Linked DNA regions of Astyanax mexicanus. The main gene of each other region encodes a partner of the protein of the gene in region 2 in a complex. Links are inferred from orthologs where the notes say so. Each region holds a gene or a part of one and is shown on either strand. Other genes may lie near its edges.

Region 1 (10,863 bases), on a different chromosome or scaffold from region 2:
GAAGCCACATCTTTACAGGGAGCAGAGGAGGTATAATGTAAAATATAATGTTGTCTATGCTCTCATGTCCAAAATTATTTCATAAAGCAGCACACAAAATGATTATCAAGAAAGGCATGTGATTAGGATTTTTCAGAATTCTTGATTTTTCAATGTGATGCTGTATGCCCACTTCTGCAACATATTCTGCTTTTCGGTGTAAAACTAATATTAACCAATAATATCATGTTTCAGCCTTCTTATCTATTACCAAGTGAAATGCTAAAACTAGATCAGGTGTGCTTTTTTTGCAGATGTTGTGAATTTATGAAAATATCTTTAACACTTTAATACCAATTCCAGTTCAATATTCTAGTGCAGCATACATAGAAATGGATTTAATTTAAAGGGAAGACCAGGAGAAATTTGAACTTACACATAAAAAAAAATGAATAATCAATATAAACTATCAATATTTCTGCACAGCTACCTCTCCACTAAACCCAGTCTCCATACCTTAAGCCAAACCCTCACATCTTTTAAAATGCTTAAGTAAAATAAAAATGTTATGAATACACTATGTTTTTAGTCTAGGTTTGTTTAATGCCAAGTTCACAAAGTGACTTTGAACATGTAAAATTTCTTATTGTATTGTGTTCCCATGTATTACACAATGTCATCTATTTAAACTGGGAAAACTGCAAAGCCAAATAAAATTAAACCAAATCGCCACTGTGTTTACACTAAGCTTAAAATTACTAGCAAAGTAAGCTTCCAAATAAAGGAATAATGATAGATTTGACAGTAGATATCGTTTTTAGTACATCAAAACCTACACAGGCACTTCTTTATTAACATTTTTAACATCTTCATTTTTATTCAACATTAATGCAAACAAAGGTCTGAAACAGACTCTAATATGGCCTTATATTACCAAAATGTAATATACACCTGGATCAGCTCTGGCCTACTGATCATTTACACTGGATTAGGACATCAATGATATAAGCAATCTAAGCAAGGGGTCATCTCTCATCTCTCAATGCAGAGGACGATGCCTGATCACTAAGGGCAGAAACTATACTGAACTTTTACCAGATTTCTCAAAAAAATCAGTTAGTAACATAAATACACGCCATGGCATGAAAATATGCAGGATGAGAAAATTCTAAATATTTTTTATCAAACTAGCTATAGCGCAACATGTATGATTAAATTAGCTTTGTGTGACAGTGCTTTTCTGGCAATGTGATTGTAGCACATGCACCTATTGAGATGATGCTGAAACAATATACTGTGCAGCCCAATTGTACGGTGCTATATATATATATATTTTTATCATTTTGACAATGTACTTTAGGATTATCGTGGATATCTTCAGTGCTTAAAGAACACTGAAAACTGCAGCAAAAATTTAAAGGGAATTACTGTGCTATGCATTAGAGGAAATGTGCATGTATCAGAACATTGTGATATTCTAATAATACAGTATGAAGGAGGATAAATTGGACTTGATGCACAAAATAATATCAAGTAGAAATCTAAAATGGTGTGCACGATAGCAAGCTAATTTATATGAAGGACAAGAGAAATTCTTCCACCAGATTAAAGACTAGAGAAGTAAACAAGGCCAAACCCTAACCCGGAATATGAGCGTCCACTCTGAGGAATGAAATAGAACAGCCACATCGTTTAGACAGGTTATGCTCACTCCCTCTAAAGTTGACCGTAGAGGTGGCTACAAGTGTGTCTCTTGTGAAAAGGCTTGAAGAATCTTAGAAAAATATTCATCAGGCTGATCAGGCATGAGGCTATTATGTCTTGATTCACATGCACACATTTTTTAGGGTAGGAATATGTTGTCACAATATTTCAGTATGTGGCATCAGTTATGGATATTATTATTGAAACCTAGGCACTCTAAACTCCCTAAGAATCGCATTGCAGTGATCTTGAGATGCCCTAATGTAATGATATCAGACAGAAATCCAAATGCGATAGCGTGCATGGAAGCTAGCTATAATTCAAATGCAAGGAAAACTGCATCTGGCTGATGAAAGTCTGGGACAGACTGAAGCAGAATAAGGGGCACTAAGACAAGAGATCTTCTCCCACCATATTAAAGATCAAAGAGTAGAGAAGTGGATGATGGAAACCCAAATCTGGAATAAAGGTTTCTGTCCTGCCTGAGGGCTAAAAGAGAGGCTCCATCATTGAGCCCAATGTTAGCCACAGAGATAAGCAAGCCAGGGATGTCACACATAATTCTAGATATCAGCACTACATTTTAAGCAAGGTAATAAAGGCTGTCAACTCAATCAGAAAGACTCACCAGGCTGATCAGGTATGACTGCCTTAGAGTTTAGCTGGAACACACAACATTCAATTAGTCTAAGTGTAAAATATTGATCCTAAATAATATAATCTAACGTTAATAATAATTCATATGCAAGGAAAACTGTGTCTACCTAATGCTACTATAATACCAACTACAAAGATAGTGAGGCAAGGGAGGTCACATGTGGATATTAAAGGCTGCACTACATTTTAAGAAAGGGAGTAAATACACATTGTCAACTCAATTAGAAAGAAATTGCTGCTTTTTTGCTTGGCTGGTACACACTGATGTATACAATAAGAAAATCTGAAAAATCTGCATTGTAATATCAGAGAGTGATCCAAAATGGTGTGCATGAAAGCTAACTATAATTCATATGCAAATATGCAGTCTGAAGCAGAACAAGGGGACAAGAGAAGAGATCTTCTCTTCCACCAGACCAAAACCAAACAAGTAAAAAGGCCAAATCCTAATCTGGGATAAAGGCGTCCATCCTTTCTAGGGACTTAATGAGAGCTTGTCAATCGTTTAGCCAGGTTTGGACCACAGAGAAGCCATTGATGTCACACGTGGCCCTTACAGGCAGTACAAGTCTAGGATATGATAGACAAAACACAACCAAACATTATATCCCAAAATAAGGAAGGGAGTGAATACACACTGTCACCTCAATCAGAAAGAAATTGCTGCTTTTTTGCTTGGCTGGTACACACAGATTTATATAATCAGAAAATCTGAAAAATCTGCACAATTATATCAGACAGAGGTCCAAAATGGTGAACATGAAAGTGCTAATGCATATACATTTTCGGTATTTAGCATATACAAGGAAAATTGCATCAGGCTGATATTAGTCTGGTTCAAACTAAAGCGGAATAAGGGGCACCAAGAAAAGGGATCTTCCTCTACCAGTGCACCAGTGTCTGTCCTTACTGAGGACTGAAAGTGAGCAGCCCCATCATTTAGCCAGGTTTTGCTCCCTTACCTTGAAAGTTGACCACAGAGTTATAGTGAAGCCATGGACATCACACGTGGCTTTTCCAGAATAATGTACTACATTTAGCTCATTTTATATATTAAATATCAAAAAAAGCTCATCATCAGACTACATCAGACACATACACATATACATATAGTCAACTTGGACAGTAACAACAGGGAAGAAATAATGAACAAAATCACTATATCAGACAGAGGTCTATGAAGCTAATTCATATGCAAGGACGTATGACTCAGACTTAAGCAAAATAAGGGGCACAAAGACATCCAAAAATCAAACACCAAAAGGCCATAGCCCAGAGAAGTGGACAGGACTGGGCAAAGCATAATATGGGCTGAAGGCGTCTATACTGAGGTCCTGTCTGAGGACTAAAAGAGGGCAGCCCAATCCTTTTTTGCTCTTCTGCCTCGAAAGTTGGCCACAAAGCCAGGGATGTCACACGTGGCAAGTCTATTAAGACAGTATGTAGAGGAAAAATCTTGAACAATGCATAAATCATTAGAGCTGATCTACAAAATAGTAATAACGGTAATATGTAAAGTGTAAATAATAGTGTGCATAAAAGCTAGCTAATTTATATGCAAGGACTCATATGACTCAGACTGAAGCAGAATAAAGGGCACAGAAGCAAGAGATGATCTTCCACCAAATCAAACACCAAAGACCAAAGACGAGAGAAGTGGACGAGCATAGCCTAATCTCAGCTAAAGGCGTCCGTCCTGTCTGAGGTCCTGTCTGAGGACTGACTGAAAAAGAGCAGCCCCATCGTTTAGCCAGGTTACCCCCCACCCCTCCCTCCTCACTCCCTCCTTCCTTCCATCTCTCAAGTCTCCAACAGTGTAGCGCGGTCAAGCCCTTTTCCCTGCATTCAGCTCGAAAGGCGTAGCAGCATTAGCAGCCTCAGCTCAGCTCAGAAGGACAGAGAAACTCCCCCACCTCCTCCTCTTCCTCCTCCTCCTCCTTTTTTGCCACTTTAGGCTACACTCCCCTCACCTGCTATGTCGTCTTCAAAATCCAGATCGTCTTGCCCCTCTTCTTCATTGCTCAGCGATCCGGGCATCTTTACTGCATTACCCAGAGAAAAAAGGAGGGGGGGGAGGAAAAAAAAAATCACATCCAAGCTAGAGCTCACTAAAGTCGTGGAAACTTAACCCCTTCAGAGCAGCAGCAGAGGCAGCCTTTCAGCAATGCAACAACGCCTTTCAGTGAAGAAGAGGAAGAAAGGACGTCCAGCGAAGGTGAGGGGCTTGAGAAAACACTTGGCACCCCCAAAAATTAAAGAGAAGAAGAAGATGGAAAAGAGGAAAAAAAGAAAAAGGGAAATATGGCTGCCCTACATGGAAGCCGCCCCAAAAAATCTCTCCATTCCCTCCTCCATCCAAATCCTCCGCTCTGAAAATAAGAAAGAGCCAAAAATGGAACACACATGCCCAGCTTGTGACGTCTGGTCGGTTGCCATGGCGATCCATCCCATAATGATGATGGGGCACGACTAGTTAGTAGTGCTTTCCCCCTTAGTTACCAGTTGGACTAGTACATGCACGCACGCGCACAACCACATTGCTCGCGCACACACTGCTCACACAAACACGCTCACAGCGCCGAGCTCGTGCATTCTGAGGCTTACGTGGGGTTGAGGGGAAAACGTGGACGAAAGTTGTTTCGAGTGCTGTCGCGTGCTTTCTGTCCGTTGCCGTGTACGGCGAGCAACATCATCTCTGGATCAACCTCCAGACCGACCGACCCACCGCACGAGCGCAAGAGAGGGGTGGGGGAAACTGTGCTCGTCTTTGTTTGCATCACACGCGCCAGGTTTGGTTTTTCCCCTCTGCACGATCGACCAACACGCCACGCACAGACCGGGACAGAGAGAGGGCCGTCGCGTGCGCGCGCGTGAGTGTGTGTGTGTGCGAGCCTGTGTTGTGGTTGGTTTACAGGTGGGTATAAGTGGCGCGAGGATGCTCTTATTTAAAAGTAAAGGAAGGCTCTCGCGCTGTATTTTTTTTTTAATTCAGGGGGGTTGGGTTGAGGAGTGATCTCCGTCTAGATCGTGCAACAGATGCAGAACGCGGCCAATTAAAGAGCCGGTTAGCGCTCGATGCAATAGGCTCGCGCGTTCAGGACCACCGGAGAGTCACGAGCGCCGTTGTCAAGGTGACGAGGCAGCGCAGCCCGACACAAAGACAGAGAGAGGGAGAGAGAGAGAGAGAGAGAAACAGACAGGAGAGAAAGAAACAAAAAAAGATAGGATGGAAAAGAAAGAAAAACAGGGAGATAGAAAGAGAGACAGAAACTGCAAGAAAAAGAGACTGAAAGAACAAAAAAAGATGAGAGGCAGAAGGAATATAACGAGGTATTAATGACACAAAGAGGAGGAAATCAAAATATGAAAAGATGTATGCCAGGAACAATTAATAGAAAATAGATAAATGAGAGAAGGAGTAGGAAAGAACAGTGCAACACAAAATAAACAAAAGATACAGAAAGAGGAACAGTTAAAAGAAAGGACAAAAGGTGAGAAGAGAGAAGGAGTACAAAGACAGGAGAATAAAAAGTTTGAAAATGACAGAAAATAAAACTAAAGAGTGTATTGGGAAAACGTGACAAAAGATATGAGGGATGATGGTAGGGAGAGCTTGACGTGGCTCCAGTCTCTGAGTGTGTTTTAGATAATAAAGTACAGAGAAAAATGTGTTAATGTTTAAAAAGCTCTGTACACACAAAATTAAAGCTATGTTGTGTTGTTTAAAAACATAAGTCTCCCATTAACAAATGACAAATTCCAGTTGCTCATAAATATAATTGGCTTATATGAGCCAAATCTATCAGCTAAAGCTTGTTCTTACTGTCTTCTGCTTAGTAATACAGACTTGCAATGCATTTTGGTCTCTATTCAACTTGTTTAGTGAGCTACAATGTTTCAATTAAATTGCAAGTGCACTGCAGTGCCCTAAATATCATGTTCCAATTCCACTTTATAATTCTTATTCTTATTATTTGTTAAAAAAACTAAACTAAAATAAAAAAGTTTAGGTCGTAATGAAGAATTGCTTATAAATTTAAAGAATAATCAAGATTTTTTTTTTCCACAAAGCCCTACTAATGTATATTTTTTAGTAACAAATGTAATACCTCAAAATTTGCATTAATTTTCTATTTTTTAAGTTATTTACATTATGAATATTTAATTTTTTTGATTTTTTCATACTTAAATTTGAATAAATTATTACAATAACAAATGACAGGCACACAAAAAAACTTCATTTGATCCATCCTCTTAATCCATTTAAGCTAGCTTTTTGGACACTTAATGTAAGTTAAAGCATAAAATTAACTGTGGGAGTCATAGCAACCTAGCTAGCTTATGTATCCCAAATATATTTAGTTAGCATGCAAGCTAATAATGACAGTCCTTCGTACCGGTTGGTTAGTTAGCTATCAGTTAGTTATCAATAGATAACATTAGTTAAGAGAACAAGTGTCCTTGAAATTGCAATTTGACTGCCGGAAATAAGAATTTGAACGATATATTGTTTAGTTTTACTATTATTTAGTCTTTTTACCTCAGAAAGCGAAGTGTCCGAGGGCACAAACGGGTAAAATTACCAATTTACCTTTAGAGCTATATTCCCGCGCTTTTCTCCCTCTGCGACTGCCGCTCGCGCACCTCCAAACACACTTGCTATTACGCTCATCTACTCTCAGCGAGTATGTTTCACAGATCTGCCTTTTGGATTTCGCTGAGGGATTTGAAAACCTTTAAAATGCAAAAGGCAGTGCAGATTATTTACAAATACATAATACTTACATAACTTAGGTTAGAAATAAATGTTTCAGGGATTTTAGATCGTTATTTAAGATATATAAATTTGTTTAATTTCTAAAACAGGTATTGTGGGTTACCATTTAGCTCATAAGAGCCCAACGTATTTCTGAACATTGATACCAATTTCAAAATCCAGTCAGAAATCTCATTCAGGTTGGTTTCTTCCTGCTGGCACCTTACGGTAAATATTTTAAGGTTAAAATGATAAAGAAACAAATTACAATTTCAGAACTGTTAACATTTTGTTTTAGAAATGAGGTCACAACCAGCTCTATGGCATATTAAACATTCATTTAAGCATTTGAAGGGTTAAATGGTTGGAACAAACCTGTACAAGCTACCTTTATCTCCAGACCTAACCCAGCATAGTTATATTCTGTAAATTAGGCCAGGTAAATGAACACATATTGTGAGGACCTTTACTCATCTTTTAAAGGGTCTGTGACCACATTACCATAGGTTCTTTTGTGTTAATAAACAGTCATTCTCAACAATATTTACCACTTAATATTGACCAGAACTGTTGGTCACTTAAGATTCTTGTATTTTAGTTTTTTCATTTAACGGATGTCAACACCTCTTATCATTGAGCCAATTAAAGCATTTCCTCATTTATTTTAGCATAAAAGGTCTAAAGCAAACTTTGCCTCAGTTTGTTCATTTGATTTGTATTAAGCAGTAATATCAAACTTGCTTAAACTATTTATATGCTTTTTTCAATTGCAGCTTCTCTTTGCCCAACCTCAGTATTTGAGTATCATCTAAAGCGAATGTTGTGTAGCCCAAGAAGAGGTGTCTTAAGAAGAGTGCCAACAGTAAGATGCTGATAACCTTGCTTACAAAATGTGCTTTGGATCTAATTAGCAATTTTGTACAGTTTCTAGTGGTTCGGACAATCAAAAATCAACCAAAGATGACAAAAAAACAGATTGTGGTTGGCAGTCTAAACATAGTAAAACAAACCAAAAAAAAGCTCTGCAACATCCATGCTGACTAGAATTAATTTTCTGCTGCATCAGGAAAATCAGACTGTATATGGCTAATGTTTGACATACAAAAAAAAAAAAAAAAAGAGACAACTACAAATCGGCTCTTTTGAAAATTTTATTGACTTCCATAAGAGCAGTGTGCAAGGATTTAATCGTCATCCTCTTCCTCCTCTTCATCCTGGTTGATCTGGAAGTAGCGCAATTCGTAACTCTCCTTGGTGTTCGCCACAACGCGCAGCCAGTCACGCAGGTTGTTCTTCTTTAGGTACTTCTTGGTGAGATATTTCAGGTACCTTCAGAGAAACAAAATACAAATGTAATTGTCAGTTGCTATAAGTGGACAGATAATACATTTATGGGTGCCTAAATTAAACTAAAATCTATTATTTCCGTATTTACCATAAAAAATAAAATAAAAACATGGGCGCCCAAAAGCAGTTATGTTTTCACATTACTTTTTCAATCTAATCAAGAACTTACATGGGCAGTTGTGTTGGTATTGACGTTTTGGCAAAGAGTACAATAACAGCTGTGTATCGCCATATTCTTAACTTACCAACTAGGCCTACATCACATCTTTAAACACTGAGCATAAAATAACCTAATGTCCTCAAACACATCTACAGAAATAATCTTGATTTACTGACACTAAATAAACCTCATCAGCAAACACCAGTGTTTACCCTGTTGTCATCAAGTGCCCTTGTTCATTTCAGTGTTTCCCTTCTCAAAACACCTGACTCAACTCATCAACTCATTAACAAGCTCTTCATGAGTTTTAAAATGAGCATGTGAAAAATTGCACTGCAGGGGTATGCCAGCACTGGGAAATAATGCTACAAACAGCCTCTCTACAGGGGAGTAACATGATAGTTATTGAGCATTTCCAAGAGATTCTTGTACAAGAGATCCATCATCAGTGCCATTGTAGCCATGTACTGTCTTGTAACTCCATGTAGAGATAAAAATAAAAAGATAAGTAATCCCATAAATATGGTTAACAATAGAAGTTTAAATAAAATACATAAAAAAACAATCAAGCGACTGAAACTGAGGTCTAAGGGAATACTTAATATACTAACATTAAAACAATTGCTTAACTCCAAACCATTAAACAGGAGTGTTAAATAAGGGTGGACGAAATGTTCCATTCTTAAAAGCATCTCAACCTGGATGTAGACAATTCTGAACTGAATCACAAATGACAAATGTTTTTCTCGCCTGGTGTTGAACCTCTTCCGCAAGGGCCACAAAAGTTATGAGGTTAGACATTTCAAAAAACACAGGGACAATTTGACGTATACTTTAAAAATACTGGCCTATAACTTATATAATAATTTTCATGATTTTCCTTTATAAATCCTAAGTTCTGACAAGTCATTTCAGATAAATATATTATATAGCTGAAGTTCATAGGATTTACAGAAAGTGTGCAAAATTTATTTAAATAAAATTAGGCAGGTGCATTAATTTGGTCACCCTTGTCATTTCATTAATTTGAATACCTTGAGCACTAATTATTGGAACACACTTTGGTAAGACCACTGACCCTTGACCTACATACACAGAGAAATTAAATTATAAGAAAGGGTATAGGAGCCAATTGCAAGTTTTTCTCCTCTTTGCATCTTCTCTGAAGAGAGGCAACATAGGAACCTCAAAACAACTGAAAACAGACTGTTCAACATCATGGTTTAGAGGAAGGATACAAAAAGCAGAGATTTCAGCTGTCAGTTTCCACTGTGAGGAACATAGTGTGGAAATGGAAGACCACAGGCACAGTTCTAGTTAAGACCCGAAGTGACAGACCAAGAAAAATCTCAGATAAGCAGTCAAAAGTCAGTCAACTCACAGACCAGCTCCAAACATCTACAACACCATCATTTTGCTGCAGATGATCACTGTGCATCGTTCAACTACTCGGCGCACTTTACACAAGGAGAAGCTGTATGGGAGAGCAATGCAGAAGAAGCCTTTTTCTGTGCACACGCCACAAACAGAATGCCTTGAGGTATGTTAAAGCACATTTGGACAAGCCAGCTTAATTTTGGAATAAGGTGCTGTGGACTAATGAAATTAAAATTGAGTTATTAGGAGGGCGGTGTGCATAGCAGAAAAAAAAAACAGCAGTCCAAGACAAACACTTGCTACAGACAGTAAAATTTGGTGGTGGTTCCATCACACTATGGGGCTGTGTGGTCAGTGCAGGTACTGGGAATCTTGTCAAATTTGAGGGTCTGTTAATATCAGTTACACTGCTTAAAATCTACTCCTGGCATTCATGCAGAGGAACAACATCATCATTCTGGAATGATCATCTCAGTCCTGAATATCTGAACATTTGTGGTGTAATTTAAATTGGGTCGTCAATAATCAAAATCCATCAAACCTGACTAAACTGGATATGTTTTGTAAAGAAGAATGGTCCAAAATAAATCTTCAAACAGAAACTAGACTATTATTGGTAGCTTTAGGAAACGTTTAGAGGCTGTTATTTCTGCAAAAGGAGGATTGTTCTGTTAGGGTGCCCAAAATCACGCATCTGCCTATTTTTGTATTAACTGAAATTGCTGATCCGAATAACCAATGGTTTATAAAGCCTGCGCTTGTGCGCTACTTGTTTATACTTCTGCGTTTTACTCTGCAGTTTTAAACTGTGAAAACAAGAAAATGGGGAGGAGCACGTCAGGCTATGGCATAAGGTACTTGTTGCCTACAGCACAGCTTGACA
Region 2 (10,953 bases):
CCAGTTGAGAACCCCTGTGCTACAGCATATAAACAGTTCACACAGCTTGCAGACAAAATTCCCTACCAACTAAAAAGTCATTTTCCAAGTCCTGAAATTACCTGGATTCTGGTTTTACTTTAAGTCTTTACTCCTGAAAACAACCAAAACAACCCACAACAGCTACTTTCCATTCCCTCCATAGTGCTGTACCTTATTCAGTTCCTCTATTCTCCGGATCAGATAAGGATTGCTTGAAGAATTCTCGAAAAAGACATAATCTGCAACAAGAAAAAACAGAGATGGCATTTAATTCTGCACTGCCTGCTTATCAGCCCAAAAAGCACAAACTCATAACATTACCTGTAAACAGAAACAGACACATGCATCTGTAAAAAGCAACAGTTAAAGCCCTCCTTACACCATCAGAATGTGTGATTTTACGATGCTTATGATTGAAGACAGAACTCCACAGTGTTCAGTAAACAGTACAGTACAGTGTGCAAAGATGAGACTCTGTGGTTTAGTAGTGACTAAAACCAGAAACATGAACTGTATATATGGTGATATTAATGATAACATACCAAAGAAAATCATCTCATCTCACATAGTACATAGTAGTCATCTTAGTAAACTCTACTTATGATTATGAATGGCACTCATCTCATTTCAATACATATAAAACCATATTGTGAGAATGAGAAGGGGGTTTTTGCTACCACAGAGATTCTTTCAATATTATATCGCAAACTTTGTTACAAGTACAGAGATGTTTAATAAACTGTTCCCTCAGTTTATAGGATCCTATGATTTCAGAACACAGACAGGAAAAAAGCAGAATTCAGATATAAACACATAATATGCACAGAAATAGAACATTAAACATTCTGCTATGTGAATACTGTAAATTAGTTATTTTAGTACCTGTTACTGCAAATCCCTAAGCTTCCATCTCTGACAGTTGGCTGTAGAATATTAAGTATTGAGGAAATTTCACGACTGATCACGACCCATCACTAGCAATGCCTCAACATAAGGAGGGTGAGAACTAGCACATGCCTCCTCCAACACATGTGAAGTCAATCACCATCTCTTTTCCAACTGCTGCTGATGCAGCATTACCAAGTAGCATCACAGCACGCTCAGAGGAAAGCGCAGCGACTCGGTTCTGATACATCAGCTCACAGATGCAGCCTTGTTCGGATTGACATCACCCTAGGAGTGATGAGGGGAAAGAGCATCATCTACCCACCCAGACAGAGCAAGGCCAACTGTGCTCTCTCAGGCCTCCAGCAGCTGATGGCAAGCTGCATGCCTGGGATTTGAACCTACGGCAATCTCCCAATCATACTGGAAGTGCCTTAGTCCACTCGGAGCCCAGATTAGCTATACAGCTCTAGAAAAAAAATACAGGATTGTTTTGTTTGTTTGATTTACAGATTTTTGTTTGAAAATCTTCTGTATAATACAGCTCTGGAAAAAATAAGAGACCACTTAAAAATTATGAGTTTCTTTGATTTTACTAAATTGAAAACCTCTGGAATATAATCAAGAGGAAGATGGATGATCACAAGCCACCAAACCAAGCTGAACTGCTTGAATTTTTGCACCAGGAGTAAAGGCATACATTTATCCAAAAGCTGGTGGAGGAGAACATGATGCCAAGATGCATGAAAACTGTGATTAAAAAACAGGGTTATTTCACCAAATATTGATTTTTTTAATCTTAAACATTATGAACATAAACTTTTTTTCGCATTATTTGAGGTCTGAAAGCTCTGCATCTTTTTTGGTATTTCAGCCATTTCTCATTGTTTGCAAATAAATGCATTAAACGACAATATTTTAATTTGGAATTTGGAAGAAATGTTGGCCATAGTTTAAAGAATAAAACAACAATTCTCATTTTACATTTTAAACAATAATAATAAAGCAACTGAATAATAGGAACTGAAGTGGTCTCTTATTTTTTCCAGAGCTGTAGGTTATCCTACCTAGAAATGTGAGGGAATTGCATGGGCAGTGATATTGTGATATTATTTTAGGGACACCCTTATTGTTTACAGTGGACTGACAGCTTTAGTTACTTGCACTTGTAGTTCTTATTATATTCTTATAGTTGTATATTGTTCTTATATTATAACTGCAGATTTTTTATTATTTTTTTTTTTAACTTATGTAGTTACACGTTGTATATTATTATTAGGTTAGGTATCATTGCCATATCTGTACATTGGTCTACAGCAATTTCAGAATATCTATCTATCTATCTATCTATCTATCTATCTATCTATCTATCTATCTATCTATCGGAAGGTTTCAAGTGTCGAAATATTCTAGTTATATTTTCTACCTTTATAAGCTAACTAGCTAACTACTTTAGCTCCATATTATCCCTAATAAAACGGGCCCATCACAGTCACATTCCGATACACTGAGCCTGAAACTGAAAGCACTCGTTTCTACGCATTTTCAGACTATTAAAAGACTTTAAAGCTTTAAACATAACTAAGTAATATAGCTTAAGTATAGTTTGTCACAGCTCATGTCCAGCCTCGTTTTATTCTGCCACAGCTTCACCTATTGCTAACCTACGCCACGAAACAATGTCGGCCAATTTTCTGTAGTTAGCCGGCTAATTGCTCTGAACGGTGATGCCAAACACACGTTTAAAACCCAACTTAAAACGCCTATTAAACGAATTTGTGCTACTAAATGGTACAAAATGCAGATTGTACAGAGTGTTTAGACACTAACTAAACCTCGCATGTGTTTTATAAAAGCCTGTAACTTGAAATATAATCTTTTTTACAGCTTAATTGTTTGGCGGCGGCGATTTCAGCTAGCTAACCTAACGCTAACGTTGTTAAACTAGCGTTAATGGATGGATGGGAGCCAGAAACTGGGGTGAAACGGTCACAAAGAAATAGATAATATAAAATAACCCGTCCAATAAATTATGGTGGATTTGTTAACTTTTAAACTAGGGCCCAGTTTGGTTGTAAAGTGTGCGGGTTAATTTGTGAGGAACGATTTTTGGACGCCAGGTCTGATAGATAACCAGTGTGTCTAGTAGAGCTAGTTTAGCTTATCTTAGCTTAGCATAGGTGATGGTGATGATGGCCTTGCTATGCTAACTAGCTTATCTAGCTAGGTAGCTAACGTTAGCTAGCCCATGCAGTCGGAACAAAAACCTGGGGATTTAGCATTAGCTAGCATAAAGTAGTTAGCTAGCTAGGCTAGTAAGCTAGCTTCTGGACCTGAATTTACCTGGACATGCTGGCTAGCTATGCTAGCTAAGCTAACGATCTCAATTTAATCCATCCCTGCAGATGTGGTAGGTTGGCTAGCTAACCAGCTAATCTAGCTAGCTAGCTGAATCCAGATCCATTATTTTAGGTTAGCTATAACCTTATCCTGACCAGGATTTTGTTCCAACTGCACAAACAGCTCTGCTGCAGCTCCTCAGCTAGCTTAGCCAAGCTAGATCCCTGCAGAGGTGTTAGTAGCTATCCAGGTGAATCCAGGTCAAGAAATTGAAAATCCGCTCCGGGATTTTGTTCCAACTGCATTGGGAAGCTCAGCTGCAGCTTATCTTCCACGTGCAGTTGGAATACAATCCCGGAATGGATTTTCACTTTCTGGACCTGGATTCAACTGGATTCTCCACCACCATTCCTCTAGTTAGCCTACCATAGTTTTAGAGGCCTGATCCACATCAAACACCAAAATACACCTATGAATCATTATCAACCCCTTTTCTAAAACATCTACAAAACGTCCAACTCCTCCTAAACCCCCCCACGTTTCTCGTTTCTCTGAAGAAACGCTGAAACTTTACCTTTAAACAGAAATGATCAGACTGACATACCTCCGACCCGGTACATGTTGGCCGCCATTTCTGCCCTCCCGGAGTGTTAAAAAACCAGACCATAAACTAAAATAAATAAATAAAGGCCTAAATAAAAAGCGGGTGTGCTGCACAGCGGACTAATAAAAGCGGTAGCTAGGTTATACGCTGTTACAGTTACAGCTACAGAGGTGGGGGTGAATGAAGCACGAGATGAGCGGGAGGCTACTTTCTGTTCCCCCCTCTTTCCTTTTTCTTTTTTTCAGTGTGTTTTGTTGAGGAGCCCCCCTCCTAAGATTAGTACACAGTACAATACAGTAACTCACGGAGAGAGAGGGAGGAGGGAGGGAGGGAGAGGAGCTTCCTCATGAGGGAGGAGGAAGAGGAGGAGGAGGGGAGGAGAGTGGTGTGAAAAAGTTTTTGCCCCCCTCACAGATTCTTTTGTTTTTGCTTTTTTTGTCATACCTACATTTTTCATTTATTAAGGGCCAAATCTGTCCAAACATATGAAAGCATTTTAGGGCCCTTTTTAAAAATATATTAAATAAAAAAAAAGTTGACTTGTAATATTATGAGAAAAAAATATGTACACAGTGGCATTTCAAGAGAATTCAACTTTTTTTTAGCCATTCAGAGTGGACTTTCTGAGTCCTTTCTCAGTTTCTGAATCAATTTCTCTAATTTTCCTATTTATAAGTATAGGTTTAACATTGTTGTTTTATTCTATAAACTGCGGACAACATTTCCAACAAATTCCTAATAAAAATATTGTCATTTAGAGCATTTATTTGCAGAAAATTAGAAATAACAAAAAAGTTGCAGAGCTTTAAGAGTTCAGAAATCAATATTTGGTGGAATAACCCTGTTTCTTAATCACAGTTTTCAAGCATGTTCTCCTCCACCAGTCTTACACACTGCTTTTGGATAACTTTATGCTGCTCACTCCTGGTGCAAAAATCCAAGCAGTTCAGTTTGGTTTGATGGCTTCTGATCATCCATCTTCCTCTTGATTATATTCCAGAGGTTTTCCATTTGGTAAAATCAAAGAAACCCATCATTTTTAAGTGGTCTCATTTTTTGCAGAGCTGTATTTTTCAGATAATCGAACACATTTTAATATCAGACAAAGGTAACCCAAGTAAATATAAAAAGTATAGTTTAATAATTTATATCCAAATGATTTATTTAAATATATCCAAACCTATGACAGCTTTTTAGGGCCACACATTTAAAAACAGTTCATCTAAAAAATAAAGTTGAAATAGTATAAGGGTCAAAAAAAGATTATTGTAATAAATTCCACATTTCACTCCAAAACCTTAATTTTGCTTCATTATTATTATTATTATTATTATTATTATTATTATTATTATTATTATTATTATTATTATTATTATTATTATTATTTTAGACATTTATAGGTGGACTTACTGGTGTGCTTCAGCTCATTGTCCTGCTGCAGAGCCTAAGTACGCCTAAGATTAGTACACAATACAATACAGTAATTTAAGGGGGGCGGGACAGGAGAGTGGTGTGAAAAAGTTTTTGCCCCGCTTACAAATTTCTTTGCTTTTTAAATCATAATTATACACTATAATAGACCGGTCACTCTTGGGAAGGTTCACCAGTGTTTTCTCCATTTTTGAATAATAGGTCTCGCTGTGGTTTACTGGAGTCCCAAAGTCTTAGAAATTACTCTGTAAATTTTTCAACTTGTGTATCTTTTCACCGTTGGCAGCAATAACTGCAATCAAGCATTTGCGATACCTGGCAATAAGTTTCTCGATGAAGGAATTTGTACAATGGGTTTAATTCAGCCACATTAGAGGGTTTTCCCTCATTTTGTTTTGGACCTGCTGGTGTGCTTAAAATCTTTGCCCTGCTGCAAGTATGCCTGATAATGACCCAAATATGTTTGAAGTACCATAATAAAGTTACTAAACAAAATAAATTTAACTTTATTATCATTATAGAATGACGTACAGTGAGGTACAGCAAAGCAGAGCAAGCTAGAATGAAGTAGAGTGAGGTGAACTGAATAAAATACTTCTTTTTCTGGGAAACATTAGTGCAGCCAAACTGACTGCAGAAAAAAAACATTAAACAGTTAAACTAATTTAGAATCTCATTTAATAGTGTTGTGCATCATTTAAAAAATATATGTTCTGCAAGTCATCCAAACTATGAAGAAAAAAATAAGGAATTATTTAGTAAACAAACACAAACTGAATAAACCACAGTATATTTTAGATGTTTCAAAGTAGTACCTCTTGTTTAGATGACAGTTTTGCACATCTTGTCATTTTTTCAGTCAGCTTTATGAAGTAGAGTCACTGGAATTCAGGCTTTCAGTTAACAGCTGCGCTGAACTCAAAAACTGAATCACTTAAGTTAAAAAAATAATTTAAGAAATGAAGCTCAGTTAATTTGAAAAAATACAAAAACTTTGAAAGTTTCCTTAAGCGCAGTCTCCTCTCAAAGGCCATCAAAAACGTTGATGATGAAATTGGCTCTCATCAGGACCACCCCAGGAAAGGAAGACCGTGAGTTACCTCTGTTGCACAGGAAAAGTCCATCAGCATTACCTGCCAGATAAGAGCACCTAAATGTATTGATATTTTCTTACACCCTATTTTTTTTATTGTTTTTCATGCTGAATAAGTTCATTGTTAATTGTGGTCAATGGTTAATTGTGTTGCTCAAGTAATAGTTGGCTGTAAAATGATAACATTGGACTAAAATCTCATATCTTAAATTAATTATTAATAAACCAACCATTTTAATGTTTGATCATTTGTATTTCCCTCTTCTGGGATTAATAAAATGTTGTTTTACCTGATCTCATCTCAATATTATTATTCAATCTGTGAATTGCAGTTCGATTCTTTTGTTCTCCATATTTTCATAATGCTCTAAATTCTCACGTTTTCTTTGAACGTGTTGTTTCTTTGAACAAATAATAAAATGAAAAAATAACTAAAACAAAGACTACTTAAAAAAATCTTTTTATCTTTTTTTATCGTATTTTTTAGAGTTAGAGGGTTAGGGTTGAAGAGGGTGGGCTCCTTGTTATGAGGGCTTTGGTTTCGGCCCGCCCCGCTCCGCGGCTTGGCGGGACACGCGTGCGTAAAAGTGCGTAACGGGACTGGAGTCTCGCCGGCGTGACATCACCGCGTGCACGAACTGCCCCCCTGTATTCCGAGGGGCTGGAGTTCAGATGGGGAGGAAACTCGCGGCAGCTCGTTCTGCTGCTGCTCCTTCTCCTGGCTGCAAACTCGGAGCAGTGGCAGCAGCAGTGGCAGTGGTAGCGGCAGCAGCAGTGGCACCAGCAGCTTCTCCTTATTCCTCGTTATTGGAATAGTACAAGGATATAGAATACAGTCTCCAGCGCGGCTCCAGAGCGGCGGGAGCTGCTGCGCGTCCCGGAGCGCGTGTGTCTGCGCGTCTTCACGTTGCGCGCAGGAAAACGATGCTGTCCCCAAACCCAAATCCAAATTTCCTACTTTTCTCACCTAAAAACAGGTGATTAGAGTAACTAATCCCCCCACTCCTCCTTATCCTCCTCCCCCTTACCCCCCTTTATTCCTCGCGCGCTTGAAGAGATGAAGTTTGGTAAGAAGAACATCTGCATCCTGAACGTCGGCGGCACCAAGTACGCCTTCACGCGGGAGGTGATCCGGGACTTTCCGCTGCGCCGGGTCAGCCGCCTGCACAGCTGCGCGTCCGAAAAGGAGGTGCTGGAGGTGTGCGACGACTACGACCGCGAGCGCAACGAGTTCTTCTTCGACCGGCACTCGGAGGCGTTCGTCTTCATCATGCTGTACGTGCGCTCCGGAAAGCTGCGCTTCGTGCCGCGGATGTGCGAGCTCTCCTTCTACAACGAGATGCTCTACTGGGGGCTCGAGAGCTCGCACCTGGAGTTCTGCTGCCAGCGGCGCCTGGACGACAGGATGTCCGACACCTACACCTGCCTCTCCGAGGAGGAGCTGGCGGACGCGGTGGACGACGAGGTGCGGCGCAGGGACTCGGCGGCGGAGGACTCGACGGAGGAGCACGAGGAGGAGGCGCGCTCCTGGCTGGCCAGGATGAGGAGGACGTTCGAGGACCCCGCGTCCTCCGTGGCCGCGCAGGTGCTCGCCTCCGTCTCCGTCATCTTCGTCATCATCTCCATGGTCATCCTGTGCGCGAGCACCCTGCCCGACTGGGACACGGCCAAGAACAACACGGTGGAGGAGCACAGGTGAGTGGAGTGGAGATAATGATAAATAAAAAAGGCACTTTTGGTTTTCTACACGGCGTTCCAAATTATTATGCAAATTATAGTTTTTACCAGATTTTTCTAAATAGTTGATGCAAATGACAAATAATAAAAATGCAAATCAGTATAATAAAAGAGTATAAATCGAAGTTTATTGAACAAACCTCCTGATAATAAAAGTATATTCTTCAAAGAAAAAAACTCACTGTTCCAAATTATTATGCACAGCGAAGTTTCAAAACATTTTACAGGTTGTAAAGAAATGAAAATGGTAATTTGTTGACTTTGCAGTTTCCTTTTTGCAATTTATCAGCTGCCCTCTTAATCCGAAGGATTTGTCTGGCAGAAACTTTCCTCATTTTGCCTTTATGTGCACTAACCACTCTGTGCTCCGAATCAGCCACAAATCTCTTCACAGTACCATGATCACGCTTAAGTTTTCATGAAAAATTTAATGTTTTCATACCTTGTCCAATGCATTGCACTATATAAGACATTGACTTTATGGCTGCAGAGAGGTCCTTTTTCTTTCCCATGTTACTTGAAACCTGTGGCCTGCCTAATGTGGAACATGCTTCTTAAGTAGTTTTCCTTTAATTGGGCTCACATGGCAGACTAATTTTTACAGGTGTCTGAGATTGATTTCAGTGATCCAAAGAGCCCTGAGACACAATACCATTCATAAGTTTAATTGGGAAACAAAACAAAAAAAATCTTTATGACACCTAAATCCAATTTGCATAACAATTTTGAAATGTGGTGTAGGAACAAACTGTGCAGATTGTGGTGTAGTGAAACAGGATAGTCCACTTCTGTTCTTCCCCAGCATTCCATAATGCAGCACTTTTAGCCTATGCTTCTAATAGGCTCATAATGCTAGTGATAAGTGCATAGCCTTACCCATGCAAACAAATGCTATTTTAACACAGTTATTTTACTGTGCTCCACATTTTATTGGTAGAATTCTTTTTTGTTTTCATAATTTTATTATTATTATTATTATTATCATTATTATTTTACTATCCTCAATTTACACAGCCAACTACCCAACCCACTCATTAGGACTCCCCCTATCACTAGTAATGCCCCCCAACACAAGGAGAAGAGGTGAAGACTAGCACATGCCTGTTTTCGAACTGCTGCTGATCACAGCGCACTCGGAGGAAAGCGTAACAACTCAGTTCGGATACAACAGCTCACAGATGCAGCCTTGTGATGATTGACATCACCCATTGGAGTGATGAGGTGAAAGAGTGCCATCTACCTACCCAGAGAGAGCCAGGCCAATTGTGCTCTCTTAGGGCTCAGGTATCCGATGGCAAGCTGCATAAACAGGATTCAAACCGTCGATCTTAGTGGCAGTGCCTTAGTCCGCTGAACCACTCAGAGCCCCTTTGGTAGGATTCTTAGGAATTTTAAGGAATTCTACTGAACATATATGTAGGATAGGGGAACATATTGCAAAATGAATTCTGTGGAAAAGCATGAGTATTATAAAGATGTTTGCATTTGCACTGAATTTATTATTATTATTATTATTATTATTATTATTATTATTTTTGCAATCTGTTGTCCTATCATACCTATGTGTTCATGCTTATCAATCAACTTATTTTGAATTAATTTCAAGATACTGCCTTAAAGTATTAGTGTGTACTACACAATCGGGACACAGCCACTACCGCAGTTTTGTGAGATTGCATATAATGGCAATACCCTGTGGCCAATCAGAACTCTGCAAGGTTTAAACATCACTTTAATGGTTTCATCACTTACAACCAAGAGTGAGCAGGTACTAAAACAGTACCTGATTTCAGACACCCGATAGCAAATTTGACCAAAGATAAAGCAAAAAAACAGAATAGATCTGGTCAGGTAATGTAGGTACCATTAGTGCTGGGCGATACGATCAAATCAATCATATTGCCTAAATCAATGAATGTCAGTTTCAATTAATTTTTAATTATTTGCCCTGCCCTAGGGTAGCATGCATAATAGAAATGTAAGAGAGTGTGAGTGTGAACTAGGTGTAAAGGTTATTTAGACCTTTTAAAAGCCCTTCAATCTCACTTATCTCTATCACGCACTGTCAATGGTTCTTCATAGGACCAAAAAATTAATTTCTTTTTATAAAAGAAGCATCTAAGAAAGAAGCAGGGCTAATGCTGCTTTGAAAGGGACGCCATCCCTCCCTCTCTGCTGATGTCTCTCTGTCTCTGTCTGTGTTCATGTTTGTGCCCCAGATTATGACCTGTTCTGGTTTATCCTCTCCTGTTCTCATTTTCCTTCCCAAGGTGCCTAGTTGAACACACATCATTATTGAAGGTTGCTGTTTACTGTTTTTTCTGTTGAATGTGCTTAATAATTGACTTAGTCTGCTGGTGTAGTGGAAAAATAGTAAACAAGAACAGTTTTAAAGCATCTTAAATGGTTTCATCCAGGCTGTGAACGGTTTAATCATTTAATCAACGGTTTAACAGAGTTCAGATAGAGTGCGGCTACAAATGTAACCATATAATGTCACGTATTGACCCAGGCAGGGAGACGAGGAGGCGGACACAGGTGCAGGTAAGGGAAAAATGAATGATTTAATAAATAAATAACAAATAAACAATGAAACAAGTAAACACGTAACAAAGATAAACGAATAATAATAAATCAAAACAAACGAGTGAAACTAGAGTACATAAACGAACAAGAGATAATAATAATAATAAATAAACAAGGAAATAAACAAGAAGCTAAACTAGACAAGGTGAAACTAAACTAAGCAGGGCAAGGGAAACAAACTAGGAAATAACACGGAATAAGGGCTTTAGAAACACGGAATAAGGGCTTTAGAAACACAGAAACGCAGAGAGACAGA
Region 3 (10,302 bases), on a different chromosome or scaffold from region 2:
AAGCTCAAAATTTACATATCCAACTAAAAAGATAAAATAAGAAGCAAAAACCTAAGAACAAATTAAAGACCAAAAAAAAAAAAAAAACTAATTGGCCTCTTACAAATTGAAGTTTATTTAACAAACCATTTTTTAAGTTTAAAAAAGTATTCAATGGATGTGTAAAGTATTTCTTTATTTAAAATGACAAAACAATAATTTCAATAAATAATTATATAAAAACAATAATAAACCTTTCTTAATGTTAATTATTCTAAAAGTCTATAATAGTAAGGCAACGCCAGAAAAATTATACCAGTGGTAAATCTGGTAAAATAGACACTTAAGGCTTCTATTATTTTATTTACATTAGTTTGTTAAAATTCTTTCATATATTTAAAAAATATATAGTATTGTGGCGGCTCTGGGTTGTGTGTGTGGCTGCCTGTAGGCATGGTTCTGTTCTCCTGTGTGCGAGGATGACAGGGGTGGGGCATCTCCCTTGGGAGGGGTTATGCAGAGAGGGTGGGCACCACTCTGGATCTGCCATCTGGGAGACACACAGCTGGGTTGGTGGCCTTTGGGCTGTTTGAGCTCTGTGGGGTAATGGGTTTTAGCTCGCCTAGTCTTGTTAAAGACTGTAAGCGAGTGGCAAGCCGGTTCAATAAAGGAGCTGTTGAGCATTCAGCATGAGTCTCACGGGTCTTCCTTCCTCTTCCGCGCTACATTTGGTGTCAGAAGTGACCCTGCTGGAAGATATTGAGCTGATGGCAGGGGAAATCGAACGGCTGAGGAGGAAGACAGCGGACCAACGGACTAGAGGCAAGGCTCTCCAGCGGAGTGGACTCGGACCTGACGGCGCCAGCGGGCTGTTCGGAGGTCGTGGCCGGGGAGAGGACGACGCGAGCACGGCGGCGCAGGCTCCCAGAGCGGCTGGCGCGAGGACGGCGGCGCTGACTCCCAGAGCGGATGGCGCGTGGACGGCGGCGCTGGCTCATGGAGCGGATGGCGCAAGGACAGCGGCGCCGACTCGTGGAACGGACGGTGCGATGATGGCGGCGCAAGCCTCCGGGATGGCGGGCTTGACGGCTCAACCCCGCCTTACCCCCTACGACGGCAGCGCTGACTGGACAGCCTTCGAAGCTCAGCTTGAGATCGTGGCGGGCGGTGCGGGCTGGACGGACGCCGAGACGGCAGCCAACCTCTGCCTGGCGCTGCGGGGCGACGCGCTGAGGGTACTGATCGAGCTCCGTGCCGCCGCGAGCTGCCTGAACTGACGCGGGTGCTGAGAACACGTTTCAGCCGACAACCGTCGGAGGCGGCCACCAAAATGCTAGTGGCGGACAGACGCTGACAGCAGGGGGAGACACTGCGAGCTGCGCAAACACGTGAGGCTGGCCGACCCGCAGACCCTGGAGTCCGCGGTGGAGGTGGCGGAGCGGTCCGAACTCATCCTCTCAAGCCATCCTGGACCGTGGGGGGCGTCGCCGGTTGCCCGTGATTCGCAGAGGTGGGGTCGGAGCCGGTCTGATGCCCTACTGGAGTGCTGGCGCTGCGGGGGGCGTGGCCACAAGCGAGCGCACTGCAGCCGGCCGGGAAACTGAGCCGGGACCACCCAGTGAGGGTTACGGTGGCCCCAGGAACGCTATGCTTACCCTCGGGATCTGATTCCGGAACTGCCGGACTCAGCGGCTATTTCCTGAAATGCACATTGAATGGAGTGACAGTGAACGCGCTGGTGGACACGGGCTCGTCAGTCTCACTGATACGGCCCGAGCTAGCGACGGAGGTAGCGGCCGAGTTTGTGACTGACAACAGCCAGCGCATCGCTCTCTCTTCAGTCACCGGGGATCCTATAGGTCTCCTAGGATTAACGGAGTTGACGATTGATGTCGGCAAGGGGCCCTTTCAACAACAGTTCTGGGTAGGACACATCAACGACCCGTGCATTCTGGGCAAGGACCTGCTCTCACGCGTTGGAGCTATCATTGACTGTGCACGGGGCTCGGTGCTGGTGACTGGACTCCCCGTAGAGATACGCGGCGAGTTAGGGGTAAGTGAACTGGTGGGAGGGAATGTGTGTGATTCGGTGCGTGATACGGTAGAGGGTCCGCTGGATGCGGGGTTGAGTGTAGATCCGATAGAGGAGATGCTGGAGCGCAGTTGTGTGGGTTTATCTGGTCCCCAACAACTCCGTTTGCGCGAACTGATCGGCCATTTTCGCACGAGTTTCGCTGTGTCTGAGCGCGAGTGTACTAAAACTAGCCTTGCGGTTCATTCGATAAACACGGGTGACGCCCAGCCCATTAGGCTGAGGCCGCACCGTCTGGCGTTAGCAAAGCGCGTAGCGGCGGAGCAGTTAGTCCGCGAGATGGCGAGTACGGGCATTATTGAGCCTTCGAGCAGCCCATGGTCGGCCCCGGTGGTCCTTGCGAAAAAGAAGGATGGAAATTGGTGCTTTTGCGTGGATTATCGGCGACTTAACGCTGTCACGAAGCTTGACTCCTACCCGCTCCCCAGGATCGACGATACGCTGGACCAGCTGTCTGGCTCAGCCTGGTTCAGCTCGTTAGACCTGAGGAGCGGATATTGGCAGGTGCCCCTCGCGGCAGGGGATAGGGAGAAAACCGCTTTCTCGCTCGGCTCAGCCCTATGGCATTTCACGGTGCTTCCGTTCAGATTGTGTAACTCGCCGGCTACTTTTGAGCGTCTTATGGAGCGTGTTTTATGCGGGGTTCCGCGGTCGTGCTGCGTCGTTTATTTGGATGATGTCTTGGCGCACGGAACCGACTTCGACTCCGCACTGTCTCACCTTGAAATGGTGCTCGGCGCGATTCAGGCGGCTAACCTGAAGCTCAATCCGGCAAAGTGTAATCTGCTAAGGCAGCGTGTGAGCTTCCTGGGCCACGTAGTGAGCGGTGCTGGCGTGGAAACCGATCCCAAAAAGACGGAGGCAGTCCGTGACTGGCCCACACCGCGAGACGCAAAAATGGTTCGCAGCTTCGTGGGGCTCGCCTCGAATTACAGGCGGTTTATTAGGGGGTTCGCGGACGTGGCAGCGCCGCTTCATGCTCTGACTAAGCCTAGTGTGAAATTCCGCTGGTCTGACGAGGCGGAGCAGGCATTCGAGGAGCTAAAAAGCCGCCTGTGCAATGCTCCGATTCTAGCGTATCCGAAGGTGTCTGAGAGTTTCATTGTGGATACTGATGCGAGCGACCACGGCCTCGGAGCAGTCCTGTCGCAGGTTCAGGACGGCTCCGAGTGCGTAATAGCGTACTATAGCCGCTGCCTGGACAAGGCGGAGCGCAACTATTGCGTAACGCGCCGGGAACTACTCGCGGTGGTCGAAAGCCTTCCGAGCGTACGTGTATGGGGTGCCCTTTCTGCTGCGCACTGACCACGCCTCGCTACAGTGGCTCATGCGTTTCCGCGAGCCCGAGGGCCAACTCGCGCGCTGGTTATCTAGACTCCAGGAGTTTCGTTTTGAGGTTGTGCACCGCCCGGGCCGTGGCCACAGTAACGCGGATGCTTTCTCGCCCCGGCCGTGTGTGGCCGCCGACTGCAAACATTGTGCTCGTGCTGAGGAGAAATCTGCTGAGACCGCACGCTGCGCTGCAATCTCCGGGGATGTTACTGGCGCTGTCGGGGTGGCTCAGGTGTCCGTAGAGCAGCTCCGCAATGCGCAACGGGCGGATCGCGAATTATTGTGGGCAGTACACGCGCTCAGTGCGAACGTCACACCGCCGTGGGGGGAGGTGGTGCCGCTGGGCCCGATTGCTATGGCGTTGCGCTCCAACTGGGCTAGTTTTAGTTTGTCCGACGGCGTGCTGTGCCATACCTGGGAGGATCCGGCGAACGGGCGGCGCGTTTTTCAGGTGGTGGTACCGCGGACGCTTAGGGGATCGGTCCTACGGGGAGTTCATGGGTCACCTGGGGCTGGGCACTTTGGTGTCACCAAGACTCTGAAGCGCCTGAGGCAACGCTTCTATTGGCCTGGGTGTAGAACCGACGTGGAACTCTTCGTGCACTGCTGTGATGTGTGCGCTGCCAAGAAGGGCCCCTCGAGGGCGCCCCGCGCCCCACTTCACCCTTACCAGTGCGGCAGCCCGATGGAGCGGGTGGCCGTGGATGTGCTGGGCCCCTTTCCGGTGACGGACTCTGGAAATCGCTTTGTTCTGGTGGCGATGGACTATTTCACGAAGTGGCCAGAGGCCTACGCGGTGCCGGACCAAGGGGCGGTCACTACTGCGGATATCCTGGTGCAGGAGTTCTTTTGCAGATTCGGGGTTCCGGAAGAACTGCACAGCGACCAGGGGAGAAATTTCGAGTCGGAGGTCATGGCGGAGGTCTGCCGCATCCTGGGAATCCATAAGACCAGGACGACGCCCCTTCATCCGCAGAGTGATGGACTGGTGGAACGTTTTAACCGCACGCTGGCGGCGCAGTTGGCCATGGTGTCGGACAAGAACCAGCGTGACTGGGACAGGCACCTGCCGGTAGTGCTGCTGGCATGTCGCTCCGCTGTGCAGGAGACGACGGGATTCACGCCGGCTCTGCTTACAGTATGTTCGGGCGCGAACTGAGGACGACGGTCTCCCTGGCTTTTGGGGCGCCTCCTGACGGGGGCGGGTACGCTTCGGACACGCCCACTTTTGTCTTGGACCTTATGTCTTCGCTGGAAATAGCACACCGTCTAGCGCGCTCCAACCAGTCTGCTGCCGGACAGAAGCAGAAGCGTGCGCACGACACGCGCTGCTTTGGGGACCCGTTGGTGGTGCGGGTGAGGGTTTGGCTATATAACCCTCAGCGGAAGAAGGGACTGTGCCCGAAGCTCCAGTCGGCCTGGGTGGGTCCGTGCTTGGTGCTGTCCAGGCTGGGGGAGGTGGTGTATAAGGTCCGGTGGGGCAGACGCACTATGATTGTGCACCGTGATAGGCTGGCCCCCTATAGGCCGAGACTGTCGGACACTGTGGACGGTGGTGCGGAGCCTGCCGGCCTTGCACTCGTGCCTGACCTGAACTCTGGCTCTTCGGAGCCACTGGCAGGCGGTGCCGTGCCCGGCCCCTCCAGGCTGCCGCGGGCACGGAGGCCGCCCGCCCGTCTTAATGACTTTGTTTGCGACTGATTGTAAAAAAAAAAAAAATGTTCTGTTGTACACGGGGTTTGTGTTGGGTTGGTGGGGTCGCCGGGACGGCTGACCCTTGGGAGGGGGGCTATGTGGCAGCTCTGGGTTGTGTGTGTGGCTGCCTGCAGGCATGTTTCTGCTCTCCTGTGTGCGAGGATGACAGGGGTGGGGCATCTCCCTTGGGAGGGGTTATGCAGAGAGGGTGGGCACCACTCTGGATCTGCCATCTGGGAGACACACAGCTGGGTTGGTGGCCTTTGGGCTATTTAGCTCTGTGGGAATGGTTTTAGCTCGCCTAGTCTTGTTAAAGACTGTAAGTGAGTGGCAAGCCGGTTCAATAAAGGAGCTGTTGAGCATTCAGCGTGAGTCTCACGGGTCTTCCTTCCTCTTCCACGCCACAATATTTTTAGTACATTTATATTTATAGTACGTTTTTTATATTTATAGCACTGGTATAATACATCTTTTTTAGAGGATATTATTAAAGAACTACAAGTTAAATTATTTATATTCCATTAACATATACCAGCTATGTGTATGAAAGTGTTCTCGTATATGTTTTTTGTTGTTGTTGTTGATTAATTCATTTTTCTTAATGTGTGTAATGGTTTCGAGTGTAATTATTTTTAAATCATCAATTACTGTCTTTATATCATTTAGAAAATACTGAAAATAATACAGTTATTCCTGTATATTTGAAAAATAAATTATATATATATATATATATATTTAAAGCTGAGGAATAATCATATTACGCACGTTTATCACACGTAGTCGTGATTTTTATATATATATATATATATATATATATATATATATATTTATATATATATATATATATATTTATATATATATATATATATATATTTAAAGCTGAGGAATAATCATATTACGCACGTTTATCACACGTAGTCGTGCGTGATGACGCAGCGCTGTGAGCATGCGCAGTGAGGTGTGAGTGTGTGTGTGGAAGCGGTAGCGGTAGCTGGTCGGGGATTCAGCGCTTTATTTTGTGTTTATGATAAATATTGAGTTTTATAAACTGCGGGACTCAGCGGTGTGATAGAGAGCGGTGTCTCCGCGGTCAGAAGCGGGTTAATCAGTGTTTTTAGCGGTTGTTAGAGGTGTAATCAGCGCGGGTCTGTGTGAGGGGTTTTGTCTCCGGTAGCGGTTTGGTTAGATTAGCTGTAGTTCTCTTTGTCAGTCCGGTTTTTACTTTAATATTATTTATAATTTAGTTTTTATACAGAATAATCCGCAGCGCTACAGAACAGCGGGCAGGAGAACATAAACCGAGAGGATTTAAACCGCGGGTTTAAGCTGAACTTTAGCAGGAGTTAAAGGAGTTAAACGCCGGTCGGTAGTTCAGCCCGAGCTGCTGAATAAACCGCATTAACTCAACAATCCGAATTCAGCTCTGAGATTTTACACCACCGACAACAAACACGGAGCAACAAAGCGAATTCAGTATGAGTTATAAACCCATAGCTCCTGCTCCTGCCGGATCCAACCACACACCACCGGGTAATTATACCACAATTAATCTCTTTAAACCGTGTATTTACCTGTTTATCTGTGACTCATTAATATACTGTAATTAACCCTTTCAGACCTGAATTATCTCTGTTCTGAAAAAGTTCTCAAAATAATGTTTTCTGTCTGTAATGCACAGAAAAGAAAATAATATTCTACTATAACCTCTATATAGCAAATAAATCCAATTAACTAAAACATTTAATATTTTTGTTTATTTCCATTGCGTTGAAAGCCTGTGTGCAATGTTATGTTTTATTTCATATTGAGTAAAAAACAATGATTAAAAAGTGTTATACATAACATTAAATCAGTAAAAATCAGATGTTACTTTGCCTCAATGGCTCTATCAATCTTTCACTGGCTTTAACTCCTTTATTGGCTGGTTTATGGTCTGTTCTGATGGACAACAGCTCTGAAATAGTGTTATTTGCAACAAAACGTTTAAAAAAATAAATCAAATACACGATGTCGATTGTAATGGATGTATGGTCTGAAAGGGTTAACTCAACCAAGGCTGGATTATTAGCCATTCAAATTTTTTGGTTTAATATATTTTGGGTATATTTATATTACAGGTATATTAATATTAAATTGTTTTATATAAATCATTTTATATTTTTTTATGAATATTTTACAGATATATTTATGAGAATGTAATATTTAAGTACATTCTCACAATGCAAAAATGTATCACCTAAGCTGCATATTATCCAATTAAACAAGATTTTTTTTACACATTCTAAGTACTGATGATATCCTTGATACGCTTGTTGTCAATATGTTAAGAAAATGTATCAATGCAATAATATAAAATGTCAATATAGTTATTGTCCAGCTCTAAACTCAGTCAGCTTTAAAAAGGAATAATATAGAAAAAATGGGAAGCACCAATAATTTTCATGCAGCTACAAATCTGTTTAAGATTTAATAAAATTGAAGTTTAGACAAAATCCACCTAAAGCAGCATTACAGGGAAATATAGATAGCTAATCTTCATCTGTATGCAACATCCCATGCAGTTGTCACATATAGACATATAGAGGTGGGACAAAATATTTTCTTTGCGATACATGATTATCGATATGTGGCATCAAATATTGAGTATCGCAGAATCACAGTATCGTGATAATATTGTGTATCGTGAGATGCCCTATGATTCCCACTTTTATTCAATACAGTGTATAATGATGGTAGACCTTCTGCATTCTGTTTAAAAACTATAAAAACAGGCACAGGAAGGAATGTAATCAGGTTAAAATGTAGCAGGTTTGCATGTACATTTCTTCAAACTGTGGAAAAAGTACTTTTATTTTGGCGTTCTATTGACCACGTCCTGCCGGTAAGCAGAGGTGAACAGCGGGGGAAATTCCTGCCACTGTAAAACCACTGCGGCCGGAAGCCCTGACACACATCTGACTGTTTACTGTGCCACACAAACACACACACACACACACACACACACACACACACACACACACACACACACACACACACACACACACACACACACACACACACACAATATGGCGGCATGAACACATTTATGTAATTAGAGACAGATGGCAATGGCCTCTATAACTCAGGCTTTATCTGCAGTTCAGTCTGACCCGTTTACACCGGCCTTCCTGAACCTTCGTCAGAATCACACACAGCATTTTACAGCACTCCTATTCAGACAGTCAGAACAATTATTATGCAAACGCAGTAATGCATGAAAAAAAGCTCATTTTACAGGCTGTATTACTGGGCTTAACCACCCAAAACCATCCAACACAGCAATGAAGAACACAGGGCCATTTTTAAACTGCCTATATTCTGCTTAATGTTTCCCCCCTGATAAAGGACTTGTACACTATAATGCCAAAAGTATCTGCTGGCCTGCATTGCGTTTCAGTGATACGAGGAAACTCATTCCATGAAGCTCTTTACACTTGATAACATAATATAACAATACTGTGATTCTGCGATATTCTGTATATCAACACAATTCGCTACGATACCTCATAGATTTACACTTCATTCAGCTAGCTAAGTTAAAATATTGGACTCACCCTAGTCTTTGTCTTCCTTTCCTGGAACGGTCCTCTTGGGTATACTTACAAAGTGCTTGACATTTTTTAGATTGACTGACCTCAATTTCTTAATCATTTTTTCTTAAAGCCATTTTTTCTTTATTTAGTTGAGTAGTTGTTGCTTCTCATAATCTGGATTCGAACATTACTCAAATATTCACTATTCACTGTATACCTGTAACTCTACCTCTTCACTACTTTACTTTAACTGATGCTCTCGAACACTTTATTAAGAGACAAGAAATTCAGGTAATTAACTCTTGATGAGTTCAGCACAGCTGTTTACTGAAAGCCTGAATAAATTAATACTTTTTTCTTAGTTTGGATTATTTTAGTATTAATCTACAATGCAAAAAAAATAAAATGATAAAAAAAACACTGAATTTAAAGACTGTTACTTCATCTTTCATGTAAAAGGAATACACAATAATATCAGAATTAAATCAGTATTGACCTATAATTACTTATTTTCATTTCCTAGAATCATTGGCATCGGCTGTTAAGGACGATATTTTAAATTGATACTCGCTGATGTATTTATTGTATGCTGGAAAATAACCAAACAATGCTGACTGCTCTACTACAAGTGCCAGACACTAACCCCACTACTTTAAAATGAATTGATTTAGGTTCATTTTGACTTATTTGTATTAGTTTTAAAGCTATACCACAGTGTGTAGTCTCTCTGTAAGTTATAAATATATAGATATATACATGTGTAATATTGCTCACCATTTTTCACTATAATAACCTCTTTCGTCTGTTATTATCCTCAGGATCCTGCGGCTCTTCACCGTCCCTGCCCTCCTCATCCAACTTCAGACCAGCATTCAGTGACTTCGGTCCACCATCGATGGGTTTCGTACAGGTAAGATCAGTCAGAGAACAGGGAACTTTAATAGCAGTAATCACGGTATTTTAGAGTTCTTACAGCCTGTTTTGATTTTAATTTTTTGAGCTACTCTTAGTTTTGTATTTTTTTTATTATTATAAAATGTCTAATTTCTTTTCCTTTTTTAATTTTCTCTTTAAAATGTGAATTTGACAGTGGTTCTCTATATTGTGTCAATATTTAATGATTAATGGACCAATAGAAACGCTCAAATTATTTCACTGAAAGTTAAAAAGCATTTTCCTCCTTCTGTAAAGTTAACATTTTAAGGATACAAGGGTATTGCATGAGAGCAATGTACAAAAAAATATTAAGATGTTTGTGTGATATATGATTTCAGCTTTATATAGTTACTAATCTTTATTATTAATTAGTTTCCTATTCTTTCATGTCTCAACCAGCCAGATGTGGCTGTGAGGTTAGTGTGAGCTGAGTCTGAGGAAGATGCTAACTCCCTGTCTGTTCATTTCCAGCCAGTGAAAGTGTCACAAGGCTCCACCTACAGTGAGCTGCTGTCCGTTATTGAGGAGATGAGCCGAGAAATCCGCCCCACCTACGCCGGCAGCAAAAGCGCCATGGAGAGACTCAAGAGAGGTACAGCACTGAGACATACTGTATATAACTAACGCAGTGACAGTAATACTTCTGCATACATGTTTATTACTTAGGTTTAATTAGTATTGGTCTAACTTTTTGCA

The links.
Region 1: mta3 (region 2) and chd5 share a complex: the UniProt entries of both Homo sapiens proteins name them as parts of the nucleosome remodeling and deacetylase (NuRD) repressor complex. The link is inferred for Astyanax mexicanus from reciprocal best matches to the Homo sapiens genes MTA3 and CHD5.
Region 3: mta3 (region 2) and cdk2ap2 share a complex: the UniProt entries of both Homo sapiens proteins name them as parts of the nucleosome remodeling and deacetylase (NuRD) repressor complex. The link is inferred for Astyanax mexicanus from reciprocal best matches to the Homo sapiens genes MTA3 and CDK2AP2.

What each region holds. Positions count from the first base shown.
Region 1 is NC_064431.1:8,374,859-8,385,721, reverse strand, and holds the start of chd5 (chromodomain-helicase-DNA-binding protein 5), read right to left. Parts: upstream 5,221-10,863; 5' UTR 4,378-5,220; coding exon 4,311-4,377; intron 1-4,310. Other genes in the region: rpl22 (60S ribosomal protein L22), read right to left, coding at 8,281-8,425. UniProt on the Homo sapiens protein: ATP-dependent chromatin-remodeling factor that binds DNA through histones and regulates gene transcription. May specifically recognize and bind trimethylated 'Lys-27' (H3K27me3) and non-methylated 'Lys-4' of histone H3.
Region 2 is NC_064422.1:39,779,459-39,790,411, reverse strand, and holds the start of mta3 (metastasis-associated protein MTA3), read right to left. Parts: upstream 4,172-10,953; 5' UTR 3,879-4,171; coding exon 3,851-3,878; intron 261-3,850; coding exon 193-260; intron 1-192. Other genes in the region: kcng3 (potassium voltage-gated channel subfamily G member 3), read left to right, coding at 7,432-8,069. UniProt on the Homo sapiens protein: Acts as a component of the histone deacetylase NuRD complex which participates in the remodeling of chromatin.
Region 3 is NC_064414.1:54,930,101-54,940,402, reverse strand, and holds the start of cdk2ap2 (cyclin-dependent kinase 2-associated protein 2), read left to right. Parts: upstream 1-6,035; 5' UTR 6,036-6,573; coding exon 6,574-6,628; intron 6,629-9,488; coding exon 9,489-9,580; intron 9,581-10,077; coding exon 10,078-10,198; intron 10,199-10,302. UniProt on the Homo sapiens protein: Acts as a component of the histone deacetylase NuRD complex which participates in the remodeling of chromatin.